Linked DNA regions of Cricetulus griseus. The protein of the gene in region 3 purifies or fractionates together with the protein of the main gene of each other region. This does not show direct contact. Links are inferred from orthologs where the notes say so. Each region holds a gene or a part of one and is shown on either strand. Other genes may lie near its edges.

Region 1 (4,350 bases), on a different chromosome or scaffold from region 3:
GTTTTTCTTAATGCTCAGGCAATCTGTGCAATCTCTGAGGCTCTAATGGAGACGAGGCACAACTGAAGAACCTGTTTTTACCCTGTGATTACTAAAGTCCTGCAGCAGAGCTATCAAAGTGGCACCCTGCAAACTTCAGTGCTAGGGATGAACCAGGGCCTACTGAAAGTTAAGTGTCCTAAGGAGCTAAATTCCCAAGCGAGAGAGAGAGACAAAGGTAGAGAGCTCTTGTTTGTTTGAGACAGAATCTCATTCTGTAGCTCAGGCCAGCCTCTAAACCAGGGCAACCCTCTGCCAAAGCCTCCTAAGCACTGGGCCTACAGAACTGGATACAACCGTGGACTCTTTTTTTTTTTTTTTTTTGGTATGTTAAGGCTGGGCCTCAATAAATTGCTGAAAACAGGCCTGAACTTCTGATCTTCCTACCTCGGCATCCCGAGTAAGGGCGTTCACGGGACTGGGCAACCAAGCCTAGTTGCATCCAGCTAATTCTCTATAAGCCCCCAAACAGCTGTTCCACATATCATTTAAAAATCAAATAGCTTCGTGGGTAAAGTTGTTGAGGCCAAACCTGATGATCCTAAGTTCAACCCCAGACCCACATGCTGGAAGGAGAAACCCCACTCCCTCAAGTTGTCCTCTGACCGTTACATGTGAGCCATGGCATGCACACAATCACAAACACACATTAAATAAGTGAATGTAACCTTAAAAAATCAATTGAGTAGGCTGAGGTTATAGCCAGGCCCCGGGCATGCCGAGGGCCCTGGGTTCAAGTCCCAGAATAGCCAAAAACTACACGCAAATACACTGGAAAAATAATAATCTGTTTCTAGCATTTTAACATTTCTCTTAAAGTAGGAAAATCGAGGGAGTGTGGCTCAGTGGTAAAGGGTCTAACCCCAGCCCTGAAATAACAATAAGACCTAGCAACACTGAGCTCACTCTCATACAGCAAGCACCAGAGCTAGGTGGCTTCGGACTTTCTACAAGGGGCATGCATTCCTCAGTATCCCAGTCCTTACCTCTCCCTCTATCCTTGACTACCTCATTACCTAATCCCCACAGGCAAAGGCATTATGGCCCTCCCTGTACACCCTTTTCACCATTGCCAACTATCAAATATAACACTTGTCGTCTCTCTTCTGATCTGGATGTATTCTCAGTCTTCTTCCCTCTCCCTAATCTATACCCATTTACTACTAAGTCTCAGACTCTAAAGACAAGAGCTCATGGTGTCAACCCAAATCCACCAGAGAGACACCTACAAAAAGCTTTAACATCAAAACCCTAAGAAGTTACTGGTAACACTGTATGGACTCATCCGGACACCTTTTAGCGTAGCTGTCTCCTACAATGCCACTTTTCAACCTTTTTTTTTTTTTTTCTTCTCAAATGGAAAGTCAGACCACAAGAAGCTGTGACACTTTCAAGATTTAACTTCTGGCTCCTCCCTGTTTCTATTTTGTTGTTGTTGCTATTGTTGAGAATAGCATGCTTTTCTAGTTTTAAGAGTCTGTGGTGGCAGTCATGTGACTTTGGCTAAAGGCGATTATTACTGTGCTTGCAGCTTCACACAACTGTGCAGATAGTGCTTAAAGCTTACTTGCTCCTAAGTAAACCTGACCTGTAAGTCTGCTCTGAAATAACACTACCCTTCACTTCTCACGTGCCTGGGCTGCATCCTTAACTGAACACTCCAGAACAACTCAGTTTTAGCATGGGGCTCGCTCTCTCACTCACCTACCTACTCACTAGGATCTACCACCTGAGAAGCCAGAATCATAGGATTTGCAGCCCCCCACCCCCCCACCTCCAACCCCAGCTGACTCCACCTCACCTTAGCGGTTAAGAGGAGAGTTTACAAGAATATTAAAAAATAAAGAACGATCACTTTTTCTCTCTGACTCCAAAAAGGACCAAAACTGAACGGAAATGAAAATGAAATGGAGAGTAGGAGACGTACCGCAGATTGAAACCTCGGTTGCTCTTCCTGGAATAAGAGAGAAAAAAAAATAGAAAATATAGAAGTTATTTTTACACTTCGAATTCAATAATAAGAAAGAAAATGCCGGCGGCGGAGGAAGCAGCGGGTGGGGAGTCAGCCCGACACCCCTCCCTCCCTCTTTCCCCTCCACTCTCTCCAGCGGGATCCCGCAGCCTGGTGGGGGTCCCAGGCGCCGCCCCTCTTTCTGGCATCCGAACCGGACAAGAGGGGTCCGGAGCACACTGCTCTCCCCGGACCCCCCTCGGGAGTCAGAGCACTCACTCCCAGTCCCCTCACCCCCAGGATCAACGGGTCCACGGGTAAAAGGAGATCGTGGACCCAAGAAGCAGGTCCTGAGCGCTGGTCTCCTTGCCCAGGATCCGGACGGATAATGGGATCCCCAGCCGGATAGAGTGGAGAGGGAGGCCTCGGCACCCTCCTCCACGGGAGGAGGTGGGGGTCCCAGAGGCCGCGTGTCTGCTCCCACCTTCAGTCCCAGGAGGCCTCTCCGGACAGGACTGGAGGGGAGCGAGCGCGGAGCGCGACGCAGGCGGTCCCGGCCCCGGGGGAAGGGGACGGAGGCGGCGGCGACCCGGCCCCCTCCCGCCGTCGCCCCGCTGAGGGCCCCGGCCGCTGTCCCCGCCTGACAACCCGAACGGAAAGGAAGAAGCCCCGGGACTCACGTCGCTCTCCACCTCGATGTCATCGTTATCGCTCATTTCCTACGGCCCAGGGAGCGGCCACTGCAGCGGCGGCCGGGGAGGGGAGGGGTGGAGGGAAGGGGGAAGTCACCGACAACAACAAGCCGAGTGCCCCCACGCACACACTCACTCACTCACTCACTCACTCACACACACTCACACACACACAACACGGGCGACAACCACCTCACTGCAGCACCCGATCAACGGCGGCACGCACGCCCGGTCGGCCCCCTGACACGTGACCGGACTCTCCGCGCCGGGAGAGCCGAGACTTGTAGTCCTCGAGCGTCTGATGGGCAGGTCGGAGAGCGCCGGAGAAACTACAAATCCCATCAGGAAGCGCACACAATCTTCACCAGCCCCGCTTGTTGACAGAGCGCAGGGCGCGTGCGCGCCGGTGGTGGGTGCGAGAAGTGGCGCGGTGCCTCCCGGGAGATGTAGTCCACAGACCGCGAGTTGTCAGGAGATTTTCCTCCCCAAGCGGCGGAGAGGCTGCTGGGAAGACAGGACACGTGGAGGGAGCTGGGCTTCTGGAGCCGGCCACAGTCTGAGCTCTGGGCGCCTGGCCCAAGGGATTGGGTGGAGGCTCAGGGGGAGAAGCTAGCTGCCAAAATAACACTGTCTCTTCTTGGCTAGACTGCTTTTACATTGTCTTGTTTAACGCTTGAGTCGCTCCACTTGCGCCCTGGGGCGTAACCCTCACGGGAAGGAATCAAGCTGCTGCTGGCCAGGGGGCGCGGTCGGGATGCCCACGCGGACCCTCGGGATCTAGTTTGGGGGAGTTAAGAGGCGATACAGGACAAGCTAAAGGACCTGCCTCGCCGGGGTACACTTAGTCCCAAGAATTTTGCTTTCATTTGTCCGAGAGGACCGTCCTTACTCGGCTTGAATGTTTACAAAATCTCGCTTAGGTGGAAGTAAATAAAACCCAACTGTTTGTCGTAGCCCATGCAGATGAAGGAGTGCCCCAGTGCGGGAGAACCTTAATTAAGAACTGCAGAAAGAATAAAAACGGGAAAGTTGTGCGGCTCCCTGTCCAACCAAAGTCATATTTATACACCGAGGTATGAAGCATGACTACATCCCACCAGTATTTATTATCTAATGTGGCAGAACAGGCATGCCGTGATGGGTACGACTGAACAGGGCCCCTCAAAGATCTCACAGCTTGTGGAAGCGAAAACCGGACTACCCTGCCACCATTTTCAGTGTGCACCAGGTCCTTCCTTGATGAAAGAAAAATAATAAAGGCACCTTCTATCACCAGAGAAATTAACCAAACTGGTTAATTTACAACTGGTTTCCAAAATGAATGAAGTCTTGGGTTTGGGCTATGAGTTACTGATTCCTGAGTGAAAACAGTTTTGTTTTGTTTTGTTTTGTTTTACATTTTATCTATCTATCTATCTATTTATTTATTACGTATACAACATTCTGCTTCCATGTATATCTGCACATCAGAATAGGGCACTGGACCTCATAACAGATGGTTGTGAGCCAACAGATGGTTGTGGTTGCTGGGAAATGAACTCAGGACCCCTGGAAAAACAGTCAGTGCTCTTAACCTCTGAGCCATCACTCCAGCCCAAGTGAAAATAGGTTTTATCCCTGACTATTGAAGGCAGAAACTTGATGGTATAACAAAATCTTTGTGACATC
Region 2 (4,416 bases), on a different chromosome or scaffold from region 3:
AGAGTTGTGGACCACCCACCCATCCCACTGCCCTGCCCTTTTCAGTGGCACTGCTGCCCAGCAGGTACAATATACACAGCTCTTTTGGCTAGTCAGCTGTAACTCTTGAGCAGGAAGCAGTTCTCTCATCTGCAGAGGTTGCATGCATACCACCTCCTGTTACCAATTTTTGCCTCAGAAAGGAGCACGCATGTTGTCTCGGTAGGGTGAAAGGGGCAGATGCGTTTTCTCAAGCTCTTAAGGAACATGCCTGATATGTATCAATGTTTTCATCATGTTACCCTAGTCTATGAAAATAGCACGCATCCCCTGTGACTAGCATTTCACAGTTGACAACAGTGTCTGGTCACTGAGAATGATTTAACTTCTACATCTTAAGTTCATTCTGTGGAGGTTATTATGTTATACCTGGGGGTCTCTACCGGTCCAGCTGTCCCAAATTGTGATACAGTGCCTTTCACAGTTACTGTGAATGTCCAACAGCATGCCTAGTTCATTATGACAAATTGGTTATGACTTGTTGGTCTACAGATGAAGTGTTTGATTAGTAAGCAAAGAAGGTAGGGGAGCTGAATGAGATCTAGTAGTAATCATCAAGCAAGTTTAAAACTAGTTTGGGATATGACCTTTATTGAGCTTATCCACCAGAGTGGAAATAATGTCTGTACAAAACCAAATGTTTGTTACTATAACTTCTGCATCACAATTAAAATCCAAACAGTTTTTTAAAAACAGTCAACTCAATCAAAACCCACTACTTCAGAATCAATAGCTTCTTTGAAGCCACAGTAACACTTAAATATGGTTAAGACTCGAATGCAGAAATTTGGTTGGCTGGAAGGCTAATTAAGCCTCCAACTTGCTCAAATAGAATTACAAAAAGGCAAAATTGTGTTTTTCACAGAGATACAGTCCACTGGAATCACCGACACTGGACAGCTGTTAAGAATATTTAGAGTCCTGAGATAATAAGGAATCCAGGCATCCTTAGACAGTCTTCTGTTGTCCTTTCTTTCCAATCAGAGATTTGTGGATGTGTGGGATGACACCTAGGAAAGTGACAAGGATTAATTCTACTTTTTGTAGAAACATTTTGAAACAGTACATGAAATCAAAGCAGGTAAATCTACAACTTGAAAGGTCTTAAAAAAAAATTCAAACATAAAGTAAAATGATGAATGATGTTGTGTAAACCAAATTCCATAAACCACCATGATTTATAAAATATATTTAAATGCCCTCTTCTGGAAGCAATGAAAATGTAGGAATTTTCTTATTGGAAAGTAACCGAGTGTCAGTGATAACATACCACCACCAGCAATTGTAGCCTTGATCAGAGAGTCCAATTCTTCATCCCCGCGAATAGCAAGTTGCAAGTGACGAGGGGTAATACGCTTTACCTTTAAGTCTTTTGATGCATTTCCTGCCAATTCTAGTACCTAAAAGGCAAAATTCTGATCAATTTTCCAATTCCCTTCAGTCAAGATCCAGGAAGCTGGCTAAACGTCAGTGGTGTTTAACCCACCAACTGTCGTCATCCCCCCACTACCTGAATGACAAAACTATGCAAATGATGCAAAGGACTGAAGGGGCACGCAATTGCTTTTGCAACAGCAGCAAACTCTGGCTCAGCGGGATCCTTGGCTGAACACTAGCTCCCTCTAGCGCCCTCTCTCTGCCTAAGCGCCGCGCTTAGGGCCTGGGAGTTTTCTTGCATCACTTTCCTCCTTCCCTCTCGCCCACTTTCCCCCCCCCGCCCCCCAAACCTTTTCCAGATCACAGGCATACTCACTCCCGCTTACCTCTGCGGTGAGGTACTCCAGGATGGCTGCGCTATACACAGCGGCGGTCGCGCCCACACGGCCGTGGCTGGTTGTCCTAGATTTCAGGTGTCGATGAATACGGCCCACAGGGAACTTGATTTTTTTTTATGCACACAAACAAAAATGCACAAAGATAGAGGAGATTCAGAGATGGAAAGATGATGCGCGCGCGCGCCAAAGCCAAGGACGGTGGTGCACCAAGGCGCCCGGGCAGTTAGCACACGCGATCGACGCCCCCCCCACCAGCCCCCGCCGCCCCAACATTCAGTCTCCGAAGGCCAAGTCGCGACACATCACCCACGCAAAAGATGGAACACCCATGCGAGGCGCCGACAAACAAGCCAGGGGGTGCAAAGATAAAGGCCGGGTCACCCGGGCTGCGTCTGCGGCAGCAGCTGCCTACCTGCAAGCCGGCTCTCTGCGAGCGGGAAACCGCCTTTGTCTTGGCCTTTCCGGAGTCCTTTCCAGCCTTACCGCCAGCCTGCGGCGCCGCCGACGCCCGCGAGCCCGGGAGGGACGGAGAGGATAGAATTACCAAGGCGGCGCGGAGCGGCGCGCCCCTCCCCCACGGCCGCGCGTCCCGGAGGCGGGCGAGCGAGCAGGCGGGCGGGCGGGCGGCGGGCGCGCGCTCGCGGCCCGCCGGGGTCTCCGGGCCGCCGCTCGCCCCCGCCCTCTCTCCCCGCCCGCCCGCCGACCCCCGCCGCGCGCCCCGCGCGCGCCCCGCGCCGGCTCCCAGCTGCGCCGCGCGCGCCCCCCTCCAACCGTCGCCTCCCTCCCGGAGCTCCGAGCTCAACCAAACACCTCCCTCCGCTCGTCCCCGACCCGTCTCCGCACGCTCCCGCCCGCCGCCGCCGCCTCGCCCAAGCCCCGGCGACGGCGGCCCCGCCCGCTCCAAGCCCGCAGCTCGCGGCCGCCGCCGCCCCCCGCCCGGCGGCCCGCCGTCACTCTCACGTTACCATCTCGGACCGTGCTGAAGATCGCACAAGCGAGCAAGAGACGAGGCCAGGCGGACGCACAGCGAGATCCCGGCGCCCACTCCTCCGTCGTACCGCGATTCAAACTGCGCCGTCTCCCGCCTTCCTCGCGCCCTTTATACCGCAGAATGTTCCCTCATCCGGGAACTCGGCTGGCTCGGCCCACCAATGGTCGCCGCCCGCCTTCGGGACGCGTCCTTGAGGCTCCGGCCAATGGGAGGGCGCGAAGCAGGGTGGTGGGGCGGGCGCTCGCGAGCTCGAGCCGTGATTGGCGCGCGAGGGGTGGGGAGGGGGAAGAGTGGGGGAGGCGGCGGGACGGGACCGGGAGGGGAAGGGCGCCGCGGCGGGAGGGCAGACACAGAGCCCTGCGCCACCGAGGAGGGAGCGCGGGCGAGCGCGAGAGCGGACGCGGGGTCACGTGCCTGGAGGGCGGGGCTGAGAGGCTGGGGACGGGCGCGCGGGCGTCCTCCCGCGGTGTGCGGGAGACCACGTGAGCTCGCCTCCCGGTCCAGCCTGGGCCTCGCAGCGTCCTCCGGTCGGCCTGGCCGTCCCCCCCCCCTCCCCGCAGACCTCGGTTCCCCGCGGGCCCCTCCTTTGTGACAGGTGGCGCGAAGGCCTCCAGTGAGAGGAGCTCGGCTCGGCCCGCACTTGCTGAAGCACTTCCCTGAGAGACCGTCTCTTACCCCCGCCGGAGGTTGTTTTTCATCTTCCTCCGCTCCGGTCCTCACCTCTTTTGACCGCCCCCCTCACCCTCCCATCCTGTCTCGTAACAACCGTGGGGGTCAAGTTACCTTGGTGATAACAAATAATTTTGTCTACACACAGGAAGCTCAGGATGAAGCGTTATTATAATGAAATCATCAGCCATAATTTTGCCGAGAGAGACTCCACATCAATGGGGATGCGCCTATAGCCTGGTGTCTAAAGTTGATTTATTGAATCATCAAAGCTATTATGTGTCAGCTTTCCGACACTAAACATTTTGCCACATGAAAAATGTTGGGTAAATGTCAGTGGGGTAACTGTAACATGATTCACAAGCAGCCACAGATGGTTCATGTAATCAATTACAAATGCCGGGCTTAAAAAAGAAAAAGTAGGACTGTACGTACACACGGTCCTGTCCTGATGCCAGTCACTTAGACGTGCAGTTAGCAGGTCGACAATCCCTGTGTACATCACTTAGCTGCTTGGAGACCATAATGATCTAAATCTTTCATATTTACAGTACTTAATGTTTAACTCTTTAAATAAGAAAAATTATTGTGTGGGTGGTTGCAGGTGCACATGCCATGAAGACTTTGTGGAAATCAGATGACAACCTGTGGAGTGGGCTCTCCCTCTCTCCACCTGTACATGGGTTGCAGGGATGGAACTCAAGCATGCTTACACAGCACTTTTACCCATGGAGTCATCACCAGCTCAACGGTACATTACACTTTTTATGTAATTGAATAGTAATGTGAAGAGAATTTTGAAGCATAAACTCTATATTTGGGCTTCAGTTTGAAATGTTTTATGAAATTTGAGGCCCTCTCTGGTGCCAGGAGATTAATGGCTAGAGGAGAGGCTCCCAGCAGTTTTGATGCCATGGCTTATTGGAACTAAAGAATTATAGT
Region 3 (3,715 bases):
AGATCTGTTTTTAGGTTAGCTCTAGAAATGGCCTCACACTTTTTTGGGGAGGTGCTGAGCCCTCTATCACTTATACTACCCTCTACTTAACTGACTAAGTAAGATAAAGTAATTTAGAACCTGGACAAAGAATAAAGCCCAGGATCTTTTTTAAAGGAAGGAAAAAAAAAAAAAAAAAAAAAGCTACTTACTTAAGACTAAGCTAAGAGGCGTTCCTTCTTTCCCCTTGCTCTTGAGAGGAACTCTGACCCTGGGTACAAAGTTATCAAAAATCGTTTTATTTCATGTCTTTGCTGATGGAGCAAGCTCACCTCATATTGCTTTAAATCTGTTACTATTACTTTAGTAATTCTAAGACAAAACCAGATAATTTTCTTTCAATAGTCTAAATTGTAACCTGATTCCCCATATGTTCTTCCTAGTGCCTCTATTCACTCTGAGTCATTCTGGATGTATCAAAATTTCTTTGTGCACTATATTCAGAGAAACTACGTGATCTTTATAGCTCTCACAGGGAAGCACATGTTGCTACTGTACTCCCATCAGGCCAGACTGTCTACTACTGTCTACTACTACTTCCTCATCCAGCTTCCTACCAGTTTTACCAGAAGATATGAATTTACTAAAATTCATTTAATAAGACAGTAGTGTGGGAAAATCTAGTCATATGACAAGAAGAATAAAGAAAAGTCTGAAATACCTTTATCTGGCTTCCAAAAATAGTCCCTGATTCTTCTTTCAATGAGTCTGCAGAGGAGAGAAAGACTACCTGAAGATTTTGTACCTTAGCCTTCCCCTTCCTGTGGACCATGCTCCTTCCCTGCAGCTCTCCTTTCTTTCCATGCTGTCCTGTCCTACTCCTCTACTTACCCACAACCCACAAACCCTGAGAAGCCAAAGGAAAAGATTTCAAGTTAGATACACAGTTCCTATCCTTTACTTACCTGACAATTCAAACTTGTGTTGCGTCTCTGCCTCTAAAGGATCTTCAATAGGATTTGAGCCATGTGATGGAGACAACATGCTTTCAGGGGATGCCTGAAGATCAAAAAAGAGTAAGTATTCTAATTACTAATACACTGTTATTGCTCCCATAATTTTATTCTCCAATGATAATGAGGCCATAGAAGAAATCCTAAGTTCTATTGTCTAATATTTTAACGATCACCTTTTCAAGATAGGGTGAGTATAGTACTAGTTGCAGCCTGTGGCTTTAGGTATGTGCAATATGTCAAGACTCAGAAATTCAAGGGCCTAAGCTGCCTAAGTCATAACCCTCCTTCCCCTCTTCCCAGCCCAGTCATATTAAATACCTCTGTCTTCACAGATGAAAGTGGCATCTCATCGCCTTTCCCATTGGAACCATCTGTTTCACAAATCTCTCCAGCTGCACAACTTCTAGGTTCTTCATCTAAGTCTTGACTTCTGAGTTCTGGTGGCTCCATACTTGAGACTGGACCAGCTCCAGCTACGATCTCTGAGCCTGACATGCCTGGCTCTGGCTCTGCAGGTTCCACCTTAATCTCAACTCCTGACTCCCTGATGTCTACCAGTTCATGAATTCCTTTGTTTTCTGCTTCCTCAAAGTCTAGCCTCTCTTGTTTAACTGTCATCTCTGGTGCTGGAAGAGGTACTGGCTTGTCCCGCTCCTGCTGGATAGGGTGCTCCCAAGGGCCAGGCAGGGACTGCGGATCATCATTTTCTTCACAGAATGACAGTGCTGCTTCTACAGCTGCCACATCCAGGACTTCAGGGTGATCATCAACCTGCCCAAAATACACAAATTGTTGAGAATACAGAAAAAGCCCACATCCCCCAATTTCATAGTACTTTATTAGATGCTGAGTCTAAAGCTATGTTCTCTACCTTTACCATTTAGTGGAAGCAACAAGTGGATAGAAACTTGTGCTGAGCAAACAAGCAAGTGGGATGGCAGAGAAGGTAAGTAGTACATCAGACTACAAAAACGAAAATGGGCAAAAGTACAGTTAAATAATTCTTACTAGGCAAATCAAAGAAAGGAAGAAGAGGGTGGTCTATGTAGTACCTGGGAGACGTTTTAGTATTTTGTTAAATAGTTACCTTGTCCTCAATGATGGCAATGATGTCTCCAACTGTTTCAAAGTCCAACTCTTCACCTGTGTAAGACACAGCAATATCCATCTTCTCGGCCAGATCTAAATCTTCCTTCCCATCTATGCTTGGAGCCTTTGATCCACCAGGAGCCTCTGCTACCCCTGACCGGAAACATTCTTCTTTGATAGAATTAATGATCATCGAGATTTCACTGCTATCCATGGAAACAGTCACAGTATGTGGATCCCCGACAGCTTCCAGGGGAACACAGGTGTCAGGCTGATTCACTAATTAACAAGAAGAAAGAAGCAACTCAGAAGCTTATCCATTATTAAGTGTGGTACCACCCCGATATCACACCAGAGCTGTAGACACCTAAAGTAAAAAACTCACTTCTGCCCATGTTTTCTTCTCCTTCATTTTATTTTCAAAGTAAGGTGAGAATACGCTCTCAAGCCTGCTTATATTTCTACACTTAACCTTCCCCACCCAACTCAAAAGATACCCACCCACTTTGACCCTTGCTTTTTTAAGGGTAAAGATGATTTAAGCCTATTGAAAACAGAAGAGAAGCATCTAAACAGGAGACAATGCTCTTGGTCAACTTTCTCTAACTAAAGTTTGGTCCTGTGGGTCAGGGACGAACCTGGAGCTACACTTTCAGGAGTGGAGACAGCCGGAGCAGAGGATGGTGTTGACAGCGGAGGCATCATGACAATGGTAGCCTGGGACACAGACTCTACAGGGGGTGGCACAAGTTTAACTGGAGGCTCACTGGCAACAGTAGTGAAGGAAGGAAGAGGAGTGGTGAACTGTGTAGGACCAGCTTCTAAAAGCCGGGAAAGAGTGGGAGCACCTAACAGACAAAGAGGTACACAAAATGAGGAAAGAAAGCACATAAACAAGAAGCAATAGCCACTCTAGGACTTAATCAAGAATTTTGTTTATAGTTTCAAAGAATGAAAGTAACTCCTGTATTGAATAAACTCATAACTACACCCCTACTTTCTTTAACCTCTTCTAAAAATCTTCCTCCAAGCTATGATCCCAAGTGCCCAATTATACACTGTATATATTAAAAACAAGTAGTTATTTTCTCTGAGGAAAAATAAGCAACAATAAAATAAAATGACTAGTATGACAGGCAAGAGGCTGAGGAACAAAGAGTTCCATGGCTACAAAGTGAAATCCTGGACAGCCTGACCTCAATATCAAGACCCTGTCTCAAAAACAAAAACAAAACAAAAAACAAAAAAAAAACAAAAAAAGGAAGAAAAAGAAAAGTGAGAAAAAAAAACCCTGCCACTTCTGCTAAAGTTGAGCACTCTATAAATCAATTATCTTTAATCAAGTATCAATGTGTTTTATTTTGGGTTTTGAGACAGGGTTTCCGTGTACCAGGTTGGCCTTGAACTCACCGAGATCCACCTGCCTCTGCCTCCTAGGATGCTGGGATTAAAGGCGTGTGCCATCACACCCCACCCAATTACATGCTATTACTATTTTTGTCTCACATTTTCTATGTCATTTAATCCTTAACACATCCCTGTGAAGTATATATGCCACCATTAATAAAATAGGAAACTAAGTCTCAATATAGTTAAGCTGCCCAAGATCACAAAACCAATAGTATGCTAGG
Region 4 (4,174 bases), on a different chromosome or scaffold from region 3:
GCCAGAGTAGCACTTCGCAGTTACCTGGCTGTGAGTGTTCTAAGGCAATGTAAGTGAGTGGGTGTGAGAAGGCTTTGGCTTAGAATACTTAGGCTGTTCATTGAGATGGGAATTCACTACAGTGCTGAACTAACAGGAAGACGAAAGGAATAAAAGCAGAAAGCAAATCAGAACAGGTACAGTGTCTTTAAGGAGAAAAACAGCTTAAGACAAGGGCTTCTGGAAGCACATTTCTTTTGTCTTTGATGTCACAGACCCTTGTTCCTTACTAAAAATGGGAAGAGGCAAAAACGAGTTGCGGATGGCACTTCGAGGTAAAACCAATGTGTTCTGAAGGTGACAAGGCAGTCAGAACCGCCATGCATATAAAAAAGCAGCTAAGTACACCTTCATAAGGAAGACTGTCATCCACAACTTAATGTAGTTACAGTGAAAACTACAGGCTTTGAAATTTCTGTCTGTGCTTTTGACTAGCGATTAAATGGTAACAGTTCAAAAAGAGTCATATCTCTCACCCTCTCAAGGTTATATACAAGACTAAATAAGAACCTTGAATGAAAGTAAAATAACATGCACATCTTGGGTCTTTCCATGAATCTTTAATGTGGCCACTAGCTAATTAAGACATTAAATCAGTAAAGCAACCATTTAAAAAAAAATCTCATTATCTCCAAAAGTGTATGAAGGAAATCACAATAAATAATAAAAATGTAGAGTTTTCATGGAACTTATTTTAACTCTTACCTCTCCATTCAAAGTGTATTTAAACAGTACCAGCTAACCTAGATATTATTCTTGGTGGGATCAATTCCTATCTCTATCTGTATGGCTGGCTGCCCTTCAAAGGTAAGGGGCCTCTTCTCATCTGAAACACACAGCCGTTCCAGTGTGCTTGGAATCAAGTGTTTGCTCTTTTAACATCTATTTTCAGTAACTTTGCTGGATCAAACTATTTCCCAAGTATAATTAATTATTATCTCTGCCAAACAACTAACTTAAGTTTTCAATACTTTCACTATAAAAAGAAAAATATTAGCCCTTTGGGAGTAAGATATCATCCGTTAGAAGTTTAGTTTCAGAAAATTCATAAACCCTTGACCCTCCTAAAAGATATCTGAACAATATTGGGACAACCTCTACCAACTCAAGAAAGAGACTGCTAGTCTAAATAATCTGATTGCAAGTTAATTCAAAAGAATAATTGTGTTTAATTCATGTTAACACTTAATTAAATATTTATATTTTCTTTTAATCAGCTAGTAGTCTAAGTAGGTAAGCAACCAGGTAAATTACTCAACTTACATGAATTTTTGTTTATCCTGATATAACTGATGAAATGGATGGGACAATCAATGAGTTTTCTATAGGTCAGGGGCTACCATTCACACATATTTACATAATGCATATTTGTGTATTTCTATTATTTACATTTATCATCCCCATTTAGTTTAAGAAGTTAAGAGTGAACCAAGAATTCTTCTTTTGAAACTCGCTAGAGTTTAAGCCGTGATGAGAAAACTTGCTTTATACTTGAAGCACTTTTAGTTATGACTACTCAGTTATGATATGAATCAGCAGGTTTGCAACTCTATCAAAACACTTTTAAGATCACCAAAACTTGAGAGCCTAGCTCTTTTATCTCACTTTTATCAGAAGAGATGGGAAAAGCTATTAAGGAGATATTTTCAAACTTTGAAAATTTCAAAGCCTGACAATTACTCATCAGAATTCTGTTTCCAATGGCACCTTGCAAACAATTTTCACGATTTAGTTCCCATTCTGGACAGCCCATCAAATCCTGTTCTACACAGGCACTTCCCGCTCACTAAGCGCCCACTGTGTGCAAGGAGAAAGCATTCTACAAAGCAAAGGGGCAAAAAGCTCTGTGTCATTTCATTCGTGCATAAATGCACAGCAGTCGTGATTTACTCTCTCAACTTTGCAGAAACGTGAGCTGCATCCACATGGCCCAATCGATTGCATTCATGTGGTCTTCCCAAGGCAATTCACAGGTAGCCTCCTCACCCAGGCAGCCCGAGGCCCTCTTCACCTTCCAAACCCACAGGGCCACACCTTTTGCAGGTGGCTGGGTCTCCTGAGCCAGAAGCACCCGACCTGGCATCTCCCTCCGCAGAGAGGCAGGGATGAGCGTGCAAACGTGGTGCAAGGACTTCCGCGAGGCGCAGCACTCAGAAGGTCCCAGGGTCCCGGGAGACCCAGCCGGCCCCGCAGGGCGCCCCTCCCCGCGTCCCCGCGCCAGCGCCGCGCAGGCCCCGCGGGTCCGGGCGCACCTCCGGCCTAGCCGCAACGCCGCGCCGCGCCACGCCGCTCGCCGCCCGGGCTCCGCTCCGCCGCCCGGGGCCTCGGGGCGCTCCGGACGGGGATGGGCGCGGCCCGCAGGCGTCCGAACCGCAGCGGCAGCGCCAGGCCGGGCCCCGCGCCCCGCGCCGCTCCGAGCTCGCAGCGCCCCGCGCCTGCCGCCGCCGCGGCCCCCTCCCGCCGCGCCACACCTAGCAACCGGCGCTGACAGGACGCAGGCGGGGGAGGAAGCGGAATGGCTGCCGCGGCGGCGCCCTCCCCGGCTCCCGCCAGCCTGACAGCTCGGGCCGGGCGGAAGCGGCGTGCGGCACCCGCCCCCCCGCGGCCCGCGCCCCGCCCTCGCCTCGCCCTGCGGCCGGCCACCCCCGCCCGCCCGCCCGCCCGCGCCCCGCGGCCCTCCACGCCCGCACCTTTCGGGCGCCCGGCCGCCCGCGCCCCCGAGGCTCGCCCGCCGCCGCCGCCGCGCCGCCCGACCCCTCCCCGCCCGCCCACCGGGCCTCACCGATGTGGTTGTCCTCGATGTGCTCGATGAGGTCGGCCAGCGTGGGGAAGTGGAGTCCGCAGCCCCCGAAGCGGCAGGTGTTGGAGAAGAAGGAGGCGGCGGCGATGCCTGTCATGGTGCTACATCGAGAGCCCCCCGGAGTCGGCTCTGCGAGCGCCGCGCGCGGAGGCGGAGGGAGGGAGGGAGGGGCCGGGGAGGGGGCAGGCGCGGGGAGGGCAGCGCGAGCCCGGGACGGAGGAGAGGGGGCGCGAGGTGGAGCGCAGCGCCCAGCCTCCCGGAGGCAGCGGGAGGCGGCGGGAGCTCGGGGAGGGGGCGGGGAGGACTCGGCGGCTGGGAGGAGGGACCAGGCGCGCGCGCCTGCAGCTGTGCGGGCCCCAACCTCCGCGACCCAGGCCTCACCTGGCTGCGCCCGCCTCCAACTTTACGTTTCCCCGGGCCTGCCCTTCGCAGCGGGAGGTGCCCGCGGTCCGCTGGGAGCCTCCTTGGTTGCGTGCATTACATTCTTAATAGATGGACATCTATTAATTACACATGGTTCCCTCCGATGAGCGCTCAGGGAGTTACCTACCGGACCCTCTCGGGGACATTTGTTTGCACTTGGCCACCTGTCTAGGTGTGACAATGACATTCACTAGGGAACCAGGAAAGGTAATTGTGTGCACCTTATTCTTTAAACTTTCTCATTTAAAAAAAAATTTAAAAGTCCGTATTCTCGGGAGGTTTGTACTAATTAATGGATTTTAATGAAGTTTTCCCCCTAGGCCAGAAGAAAAATCTTAGCTTTATTTAAATTTCAAAATAGAGTGCTTGGTTGTCAAGTGCATTTGACTGTGTTTTACATATGTGTCACGTTTGTTCTCCCTGATTCTTCTGAGAAAACAAAAATTTCAAATAATTTCTTTACTCCAAATTACAACACCCACTGCTGCTCTGACAGTACTGCTCCACGGCAGAAAGGGCAGCATAATGGTTTAGAAACAGTCAAAGCATACTCGATTTGCACTTAAAAGTGAAGACTTCACCATCTTGTGAGCATTTAAACCATAATGATGACCAGTTAACCTCTTAAGAATCAGTTACCTTCTGGTCCCATCCCCAGTTGCAGTTATATTTTACCTACAAGGTATATATTTTCTTGGGCATATTTCCAGATGCCCAGGAAGCATTATACATGATTCAAGAGTGCAGTTTTTAAAAATTAATTCATTCAGTCTGAATTTAGCATTTTTCCTTAGGACAATTCCATTTACCCTCTGGTATGTTATACCAAAAAAAAAAAAGTAATCCTCTCTTTTTAAACTATATATACCACTGTGTTATTTCTAATAATAGGATTGTTAAAGCACTTCGTGT

What was found. The genes of interacting proteins can lie anywhere in the genome.
Region 1: the proteins of Brd8 (region 3) and Max purify together in Homo sapiens (affinity purification with mass spectrometry; 3 studies listed by BioGRID, with this or other methods). This does not show direct contact. The link is inferred for Cricetulus griseus from reciprocal best matches to the Homo sapiens genes BRD8 and MAX.
Region 2: the proteins of Brd8 (region 3) and histone H2A.Z purify together in Homo sapiens (affinity purification with mass spectrometry; 4 studies listed by BioGRID and IntAct, with this or other methods). This does not show direct contact. The link is inferred for Cricetulus griseus from reciprocal best matches to the Homo sapiens genes BRD8 and H2AZ1.
Region 4: the proteins of Brd8 (region 3) and Jazf1 purify together in Homo sapiens (affinity purification with mass spectrometry; 3 studies listed by BioGRID and IntAct, with this or other methods). This does not show direct contact. The link is inferred for Cricetulus griseus from reciprocal best matches to the Homo sapiens genes BRD8 and JAZF1.

What each region holds. Positions count from the first base shown.
Region 1 is NC_048598.1:126,561,377-126,565,726, reverse strand, and holds the start of Max (protein max), read right to left. Parts: upstream 2,937-4,350; 5' UTR 2,707-2,936; coding exon 2,671-2,706; intron 1,994-2,670; coding exon 1,967-1,993; intron 1-1,966. UniProt on the Homo sapiens protein: Transcription regulator. Forms a sequence-specific DNA-binding protein complex with MYC or MAD which recognizes the core sequence 5'-CAC[GA]TG-3'. The MYC:MAX complex is a transcriptional activator, whereas the MAD:MAX complex is a repressor.
Region 2 is NW_023276806.1:21,775,231-21,779,646, forward strand, and holds histone H2A.Z, read right to left. Parts: upstream 2,937-4,416; 5' UTR 2,783-2,936; coding exon 2,780-2,782; intron 2,305-2,779; coding exon 2,227-2,304; intron 1,917-2,226; coding exon 1,803-1,916; intron 1,440-1,802; coding exon 1,310-1,439; intron 1,050-1,309; coding exon 988-1,049; 3' UTR 610-987; downstream 1-609. UniProt on the Homo sapiens protein: Variant histone H2A which replaces conventional H2A in a subset of nucleosomes. Nucleosomes wrap and compact DNA into chromatin, limiting DNA accessibility to the cellular machineries which require DNA as a template.
Region 3 is NC_048595.1:202,869,470-202,873,184, reverse strand, and holds part of Brd8 (bromodomain-containing protein 8), read right to left. Parts: intron 2,933-3,715; coding exon 2,723-2,932; intron 2,364-2,722; coding exon 2,083-2,363; intron 1,767-2,082; coding exon 1,314-1,766; intron 1,039-1,313; coding exon 945-1,038; intron 748-944; coding exon 701-747; intron 1-700. UniProt on the Homo sapiens protein: May act as a coactivator during transcriptional activation by hormone-activated nuclear receptors (NR). Isoform 2 stimulates transcriptional activation by AR/DHTR, ESR1/NR3A1, RXRA/NR2B1 and THRB/ERBA2.
Region 4 is NC_048601.1:88,255,817-88,259,990, reverse strand, and holds the start of Jazf1 (juxtaposed with another zinc finger protein 1), read right to left. Parts: upstream 2,937-4,174; coding exon 2,822-2,936; intron 1-2,821. UniProt on the Homo sapiens protein: Acts as a transcriptional corepressor of orphan nuclear receptor NR2C2. Inhibits expression of the gluconeogenesis enzyme PCK2 through inhibition of NR2C2 activity.